2 linked regions of the Oryzias latipes genome follow. The protein of the gene in region 2 binds, or shares a complex with, the protein of the main gene of each other region. Links are inferred from orthologs where the notes say so. Each region holds a gene or a part of one and is shown on either strand. Other genes may lie near its edges.

The links. Proteins that work in one complex are often made in the same cells at the same time.
Region 1: tmem231 (region 2) and tmem107 share a complex: the UniProt entries of both Homo sapiens proteins name them as parts of the tectonic-like complex. The link is inferred for Oryzias latipes from reciprocal best matches to the Homo sapiens genes TMEM231 and TMEM107.

The regions. Positions count from the first base shown.
Region 1 is NC_019874.2:18,549,839-18,553,704, forward strand, and holds tmem107 (transmembrane protein 107), read left to right. Parts: upstream 1-1,267; 5' UTR 1,268-1,574; coding exon 1,575-1,661; intron 1,662-1,991; coding exon 1,992-2,059; intron 2,060-2,140; coding exon 2,141-2,241; intron 2,242-2,482; coding exon of another isoform or gene 2,483-2,579; intron 2,580-2,655; coding exon 2,656-2,752; intron 2,753-2,915; coding exon 2,916-2,985; 3' UTR 2,986-3,337; downstream 3,338-3,866. Other genes in the region: tripartite motif-containing protein 46, read right to left, coding at 1-6, 717-776. UniProt on the Homo sapiens protein: Plays a role in cilia formation and embryonic patterning. Requires for normal Sonic hedgehog (Shh) signaling in the neural tube and acts in combination with GLI2 and GLI3 to pattern ventral and intermediate neuronal cell types.
Region 2 is NC_019864.2:27,557,157-27,561,339, forward strand, and holds the start of tmem231 (transmembrane protein 231), read left to right. Parts: upstream 1-1,323; 5' UTR 1,324-1,602; coding exon 1,603-1,741; intron 1,742-3,433; coding exon 3,434-3,600; intron 3,601-4,183. Other genes in the region: gamma-aminobutyric acid receptor-associated protein-like 2, read right to left, coding at 674-707. UniProt on the Homo sapiens protein: Transmembrane component of the tectonic-like complex, a complex localized at the transition zone of primary cilia and acting as a barrier that prevents diffusion of transmembrane proteins between the cilia and plasma membranes.

The DNA.
Region 1 (3,866 bases), on a different chromosome or scaffold from region 2:
GTTGGACTGGAGAAGAGGGAAGAGGAAAGTTCAAGAAGACAACAGAGCTGCGACTTGATTTAAAGAAAGGAAATGATGGCAGTGATGAAGGAAATATCTAGATGAACTCTGGTTGTGTGCCGTTTATTGCACAGGACAAGAAGGAAAGAAGAACGTAACCTCCATGATGCTTAGCAGTCCTCCTGTGATTGCTTCACTGCTTCCTATTTCTAAGAGTAAATTGGCTGAGACATTATTTTTAATAAAAAAAAACAATTCAAACAATGCAGAAACATTCTGTTTGCCATTGATTGTTGCTTCTTTTTTTTTTAGGTTGTGGTGGCCCCTTTCCATTACTGCAGCCACAAGGCGCGGCATCCGGTTTCTATGACAACGCACATCTTCCTCTGGCCCTGATTTTATGCTATTTGGCAACATTCTTAGGTTCTTATATCTATTAAAAATGAATTATGTGGTCGTTGCGACTGTATATTTTCTATTGCCATTCACCACCTGACTGTGGCTTTCAGCCTATTCCGGGTTATTAAAGCGATGACAAAACATGTTTGTAAACGGTAGAAAAATGCTCCGCATTCTTATTTCATAGCCATGATTGTCCAGATCAACATACTATCAATAAAGCAAGTTATATGTAAGACTACATTATTGTTTTTCCTCTCTTAGATGTAGCACGTTTGAAATGGCTATATTAGAATAAACCGGCGTCGCACACTTACACTGATACGAACCAGCGCGTCCATGACAGAGGTAAAGGTTTGGAAGTCCTCTTCTGCCATGCTCTGTTGTTCTGATGTGCACGCTTCCAAAGAAAAAATGTTTCGTTTAAAACGATTATTAAGTGGGTGTGAAAAATAATCCCCGGCTGTTTTGTAGCAAACACTAGGCCCTGACGTGCACAGATAGCTGTGCTTGAGGTGTGCTGCTCAATCTCTGTCGTCTATCCAAATGCGAATGGAATGGTTGCTGAAACTGGTGGAGGGGGGTGGGGGCGTTTTGCCCCAAAATGTTAGCTTTATCGGGGAGCGTTTAAAAAACATTCTTTTAGAAAATAAAAACAAAAAAAAATCGGCTTTTCTACGTTCTTTAGATACGCGAGGCTATGTTCATCCTACAATCACACGTTAACTTTGTCATGTTTTATTTTTGTGTGTGTGTTGTCGTTAGATGCTAGTGTTGTGTGCTGCTTAACAACAAAGGCGATGGGTCGCATCCACTTCCCTTTTGTGTCCGGAACGTTTGGAAGGTGGATGTTTTTACGGGTCGCAATATTGGATGCACCCAGCCACTGGCTGTTGTAGCAACCCAATGCGACACCGGGGTGTGTTAAATTTCTATGTATAATTTTGTTTAGAAAAAAGACTATTAAAGAGTAAAATTTTAATTTTATAAGTTCATTGGCTTTAAAAATGCTTGATTATCATTTTTGGATTATTTATTGAACCGCGGTTGCGTTGATATACCGCGAACCAGGAGCGACGACTGTTGTGTGAGATCTGTGAACTCCAACGTGACCGTTTGGCTTTAAAATTTAGAATTTTCTAGCATTTCTGACACTTCTGTGAACCAGAAACAACATGTCTTCTATTAGCAGTCTAATTCCTGCGCGGTTTCTCACCATCATAGCTCACCTTGTCATCGTCATCACAATCTTTTGGTCCAGGGTAAGTAAGGACAGTCCGTGTTGTTGTTAAAGCTTGAAGGACGACTCAAGCTGCCATAGAAATATTTTTTATTATTATTATTAATATTATTATTGTTTTTTGTAAATATCAATAACGTGTAGTTTGTGATTTTAAAATAAAGAACAAAAGTTTTTAAAAAAATCGTGAAATAGAAATAAATTCTACTCCACAAAATATTTTTCCTAAACTGCAGAAATATAGATTTTTGTTTGCTGCAAAAAGTTTATTTCTCCTTTTTTTTATAAACAATTTTTTATCTAGAAATGTTACCATAATCGGCTATTTTATGTATTTGTTTCTGTTTTCTAGGAGAATAATGTGAAGGCATGTTTGCCTTTGGAGTTTACTCAGGAGCAGTATGACACAGAAGACAGAAAGTAAGTAACAAATGATTGAAAATATATGAAAAAATCTTGAATGCTCACATTCTAACCCGCATCCCTTTGGTTATTGTTCAGGTTGGTTGTAGCCTTGTCAGCCACTCTTGGTCTGTTTGCTATCGAGCTAGCAGGCTTCTTTTCAGGAGTCTCCATGTTCAGTTCCAGCCAGGGTCTTCTGTGTATCCTTTATACTGACAGTGATGATTCATATTTGTCATGGTCATTGATACTGAACTATTGATTCACAATTGTGAGGAAAATAAAGATTTTCAGATATTGTCTTTTCTCCAGCAGCTCTAGCTTCTAAATGAGCATCTGGTTTATAGCAGAAAACATGATTTACAAGAATAAATGAATGGATTAAACAATGCTTATTAGTCATTAGTTACAATTCCGTAACTAAGAACTTGTCTGCTATAGCAACAGGAGTCCATGCCAGTGCCTCTGTGGCTTTGCTCTTTTTTCTGTTTGAGCAGTGGGAGTGTGACATCTACTGGTGGATCTTTGCTATTTGCAGGTTAGTCTTTTGACGCCTAGCAAATCCGTTTTATCCTTTTTTCCCCAAAGTTTTCCCTGACAGCTGCTCCTTTCAGCATTAGCTGTCCACTGCTCCGCATCCGTATCTTTGTCTTTCTTTGTGTTTGAACAATGGGAATGCTGGACTTACTGGGTGATTTTTGCCACCTGCAGGTTGGTTCGCCTGCATGCTTGTTTTCAATGAATAGTTGGCTTTTAGAAAGACAGCATACTGTAACAGTCACTCTTATTTTGAAGGAATTTGAATGCATTTAAGGATTGTTCTTTTATCTTTCTGGATTTCTATTAATTTCTTTTTCTATTTCTCATCTTTCAGTGTCTTGCCAGCTTTTGTGGAGATTCTTCTGTTTATTGCGGTTTTTGGACTGAAGAAGAAGCCGTTATGAAGAGGAGTTGATTCAGATTGAATGGATGAACGCTTCCATTTGTTGCTACAAGACAGTAGCTGCAGAAATTCAGTTATTAGATCACCTTAAAAAGGGGCCAACATTGTTAGAATTTCTTCAGCAGGCATCAATAGATCCAGAAAGAATGTTTTTTTTTTCAATCTTTGTAAATATATTTTGAACTATGTAATTACAAAAAATAATTATACTATGTTGTTTGTTTTGAATAAGTTGGAGAGTTAGCAAAAGTTTAAAATGTAAACCAAGTTTTTTGTTGTCAGTAGTGTATTTGTTTCTCATGTAAAGCTTTTCAACGCTAAATCCAAAATACATTTATACTTTTTTAAATAAGTCTTATTTCTCTCATTGTATCTATCTTTATCCTCATTTGGTGACTTAATTGTCAGAGAAATATTAACCAAACTGAGCCAGAAGATAAATTAAAGTCGGGCGACAAGAGTATCCAGAACCGCAAGGTTACAAAACATGAAACAGTAACTTCATTTTTGTGCAGCTATCAAAAAAAAGAAACAGTATTTAAAATTGATTTAGGGAGGAAAAATCCTTTCCTAAATTATTAATGTAGTGAGACATGTTGTAATATAGAAGAATTATGTCTATGAAGACTCTCTTTCATCCAGGTTGATTCCATCATAGTAGTAAGTTTAGGGGCTGTCCTCTTAGTTTTTAAAGTTAGAAAACGTTTCACCTCTTATCCAAAAGACTTTGTCAATTTTGTAATATAGGCTAAAAAAGAAAGGTTTTTTGACGTAATGATCCCTCCCTTCTGCTTTTCTGCATGCAGCTGCGGACAAACCATTGCAGTTGTGATAAACAGAATCAGGCCCTGCATTTGGTTCTGGAAAACACAAACTGAAATG
Region 2 (4,183 bases):
TCAGCCTTGAACAAGCACAACACAAGATGGGGGAAGTGTATGTTTCCCACTCATGATCCTCTGTTTCAGAGGAATAGTACAACATCTTCATGCAAATTCATTTCAGACACATGGATGTGCAGGGAGGATGGGAGGAGTGAGTGAGTGAGGGGAGGACTCCATCTAGGTTCATTAGCCCAGATAAAAGTTCTATCTTCAGAGGTGCTTCTTTAAAAAAAAAAGAGTCCTCAAGGTTATCCAATTACCATGAGAATGACAAGACAAAACTTCACAGAAGGATCTTATATAACACAAACTAGGCCTAATAGAAAAAAACAGTAAAAATAGATTAAAAAAAAGGTTGTTTTTTTTTAATCCACCATACTTTTTTAAGTAATGCATGCAAAATATTGAAATTAAAGCAATACTAGATGATGATGCAATGCTTTAAATGGCGTTTCTCTTGAGGTGATCCTAAACAACCTGCAGCAAATGCGTGTTAGCATGATCATGCCAAGCTAAGCAGGATCGATTTCCGGCAGGCTCCTGCGAAAACCCCGCGTTAGTGTGTCTGTGATGGGTGGTGGAGCCACATCGAAGGACACACAGTCCGCGGAGCAAAAAGGAAAAACACGCGACATGAAAAGAGGACATCTCTCTCTGGTTTCATAACAACAACCCAAACCCTTTTTACCGAGGGAATGGTCCTCTTTAAACATCCATTTCATCTTTGCTGGATTCCCGCACTGATGCGTGACGGCAGGGGCGAAAGGCGGGCTTCACGATCAGCTAACCCTGTTGGGGGTTCAAACTTGCAGAAATCCTGCCCAAAGCGACCAAAACAAAACGTCAACAAAGAGCTTCTGTTGCTCAGCTGTCCGTCTCGCGGAGAGGTGACGTCACCGTCTGGCTGTTGGTGCTCCTGGTGCGTTCAAGTGCGCCCAGCAGTGCTCGGTCCAAAAAAATCCTTGTAGTTGGGGCTGTTGACAGACACGCATTAATATCTAGTTTCTACATTAATATCCTTCTAGTTTAATGAAAACAACACCAAAGAAATACAAAATTAATACAGTCAGACTGAATAAACAATGAAACAAAAATGATACATTGAAATGCCTTAGAACGGTCATGGGCATTTATTATTAGAAACACAATTGTATAAAAAATTTTAATGCTTTTATTTGAGCTTTTATTTAAAATTAATAGTTCCCATAACAACGTAAAAAGATAATAATATATGGGAATTTTCCAGGCATGAAATGAAATAACTACTTTTGTGCTTTTACTTAATTTCAGGACCACAGAAGAGTTTCAGCATTCCCCACAGTTCATGAATGCATCCTGAACCATGGTAGCCATGGAAACCGAGGGACGCTGCAGAAATATGGCGGGGGGCTCGTTTCCTTACATGTTGCAGGGGCTAGCAAAATAGCATTTCAACGCGAAAAGTTATCAGAAAAATATGAATTTACTGGCGTTTAGAATCCAGAGGAAGATTTTTTGGAGTTTCTTAACGACCAGTTTAGGTAGTATCGACATTTTTACGCCGGTAATCATTTAGTCCGCTACTAGGTTAGCATCTCCAGCTGTAGCCTTACAGCTAGCTGTCTTTACACCGAACGTATGGCTTTCTACGAAGTGTACTCTCATCCGGCTGTAATTCGGTACAAAACCAGTGTTTGCACAAAGGCTACGCTGTTCCTGGTTGTTGTTTTGTGCCTAACCTACATCCCACCTCTGCTTGTTGCTTATAGGAGTCAAGGTACAGTATATATATCGAGGCTTTAAAGTGTCCATTTATTTCATTTTGAACAAAAGAATATATTATGTTTTTGTTAAAGTCTTTGTTTATGCTAGAATATAAAAAAAGGATTTTTATTATCTATATTACTTTACACGTTACAAAGCCTATGAGTAAAGCCAGGGCCTTTTAAATAAAGTTTTATTAGTCCAGTAAAAATAACAAATTAATAACATTTCAGCAATATTTCATTCCATTTTTACTCAGATTTATTTGATTTAGACAACAACTATTCTCTTTGAATGCATATGAATAAGCTTTTATATTAAATAACCCAAGTTTTTACAACTTTTGCTTTAAGTCTAGATATGAGTTGTTTTCAAAATGACTAAATCCATTTGTGTCTGTTGAAAGATTAGCCTTAAATCTGTTGGATGTGTTTTGATTTGATTGATGGATTTCATGCAGCTTTCAGCTCTAAAATAAAACAAAATATATACATATATATATGTGTGTATGTATATATAGTATCATTTTAAAATATTAGTTCCTAAACTGGTTTGAGAAAAATAAAATGACAGAAAATGTTTTTATACACTTGACATTACAATGTATCATAAATAGGTATATCTACACCTATTCATACAGTACACACGTGTGCAATACATTGAATCCATAAAATATTATGTTTTTTAAATAGAGTTTGATTAATTGGGTGGGAAAGAAGTGAATTTATAATCCCACACCTATTAAATTTTACCAAACTTTTTTTTTTTTGACATGTTTACAATTTTCTTCCAAATAGGTGGCCGAGCCTTTTCAGTGAATGGGGATCGCTGCAGTGGGATCTTCTGGGTCTGGTTCTTGCATCTGGGGAGTCCTGTAGTGTATTCTGTGAACTTGGGTGGGGCTCACTTGTGAGGACGGTTTATAATTTCCCCACAAAGCCGGATTTCTACTTTCTACTTTGCATCATTTTAGTGAATCATTTGATGCACTACTATAGTGTGCGTGCATGTGTGCGTGCATGTGTGTGTGCGGCGGGGGGCATTTTATGCATTGTATACATATTTTTTGTCTTGCTTTTGGTTTTTTAAAATTGGATTATGTTTTTATGTAAAACACTTTAAGTAACTCAAGTTGGAAAAACTGCTCTATAAATAAAGTTTTATTTGATTTGAATGTTTCAAATCCATTACAGGAACAGAATTTACGTTGTGTTATTTTCATGCTGGCTTTCATTGCACATTAGTGCCTTTGCTTGTAATACAACAGTAACCCATATTACCATTCAAAAATGCCCTTATTAATGCTGTGGAACAAATGTGACAAAAATGCTGCTATTTTGAACTGAATTATTCGAACATATTTGGTAAATGATGAATTATGCTTTTAAAACGTCTTCTGTAATTTTTAAAAATGGGTTCAAATGTAAAAAATGCCATGGAAAAGTCAGAAAAGTTGTTGAATTCTGGGTACATCAGATGGACATGTTTTCTGCATGACAAACCTTGTCAAGAAGCAAATTCCATTCCAAAAAAAAAAAATGAAGCAAATTCTATAGGAGATTGTGGGAAGTTTGGCTGAAGGATTCTAATAGAAATCTTATGCTATTTTATGTTTGGTTTTTGGTTTGATGGTAACATAGAATTAGAAGAAATCTCAACGTCAAAAAGTTCCTAAAACCTTATAGTTTTGTTTTTTCAATTTCAGGTTTCTGGTTAAAGCGAAGCACGTATGAAGAACAGCCGGTTGTGAGGTTTCAGTACCAGACTCTGATGGTTGCAGCCACCGGCACTCAAGGGGACTATGTGGCCTGGAGTACCTTCCCACACCTCAACAACATGCTGGGGCCCAACCTGCGGATCCCTGCCGTCTCTGTGAGAACACATTTGTGTATCACTGATATGTGTGACACTTTTTCAAGTCTTAAGAACCACATTCCTATGTCATTGTGTAAGCTGCATTTCAAAGCATTGCTCCTGTTGCCATGGCAATCTTTCATTGATTAGCCCTGATGAAAAGCTGGTCCATGCTTTTTGTTTCTATACTTTAAACCAAAACCTTAATGTGTCTAAAATATTTCTTTAAGACAAATATCTATTACCAGAAAAGTATGTTGCTGTGCGTTTACACACAAACCCATTTACCTAAAAATGATCAGAGTACAGACAAAGAGAAAGTACTTCTGTAGATCCACACACAGTTTTTGAAGAAAATATGACCAATAAGGTGTTAACACTGTGAGAAACGAGTTTTTTTTTTAAACTCAAGTCCACTTAGAATACTTACTGGCCCGCTGGGATCTTTGGCCCTTTTGAAATATAAGGTTTGTTCTTAAATCACATCACATTTTTGCTATACAGGCAAGCGTTTCAACCAAATGAACCCAGAAAGTTGTTGCTGCTTCACAGATTTTATTCTCACCTCATTTTCTCAATAATCGTGTTTACCATAAAAAAA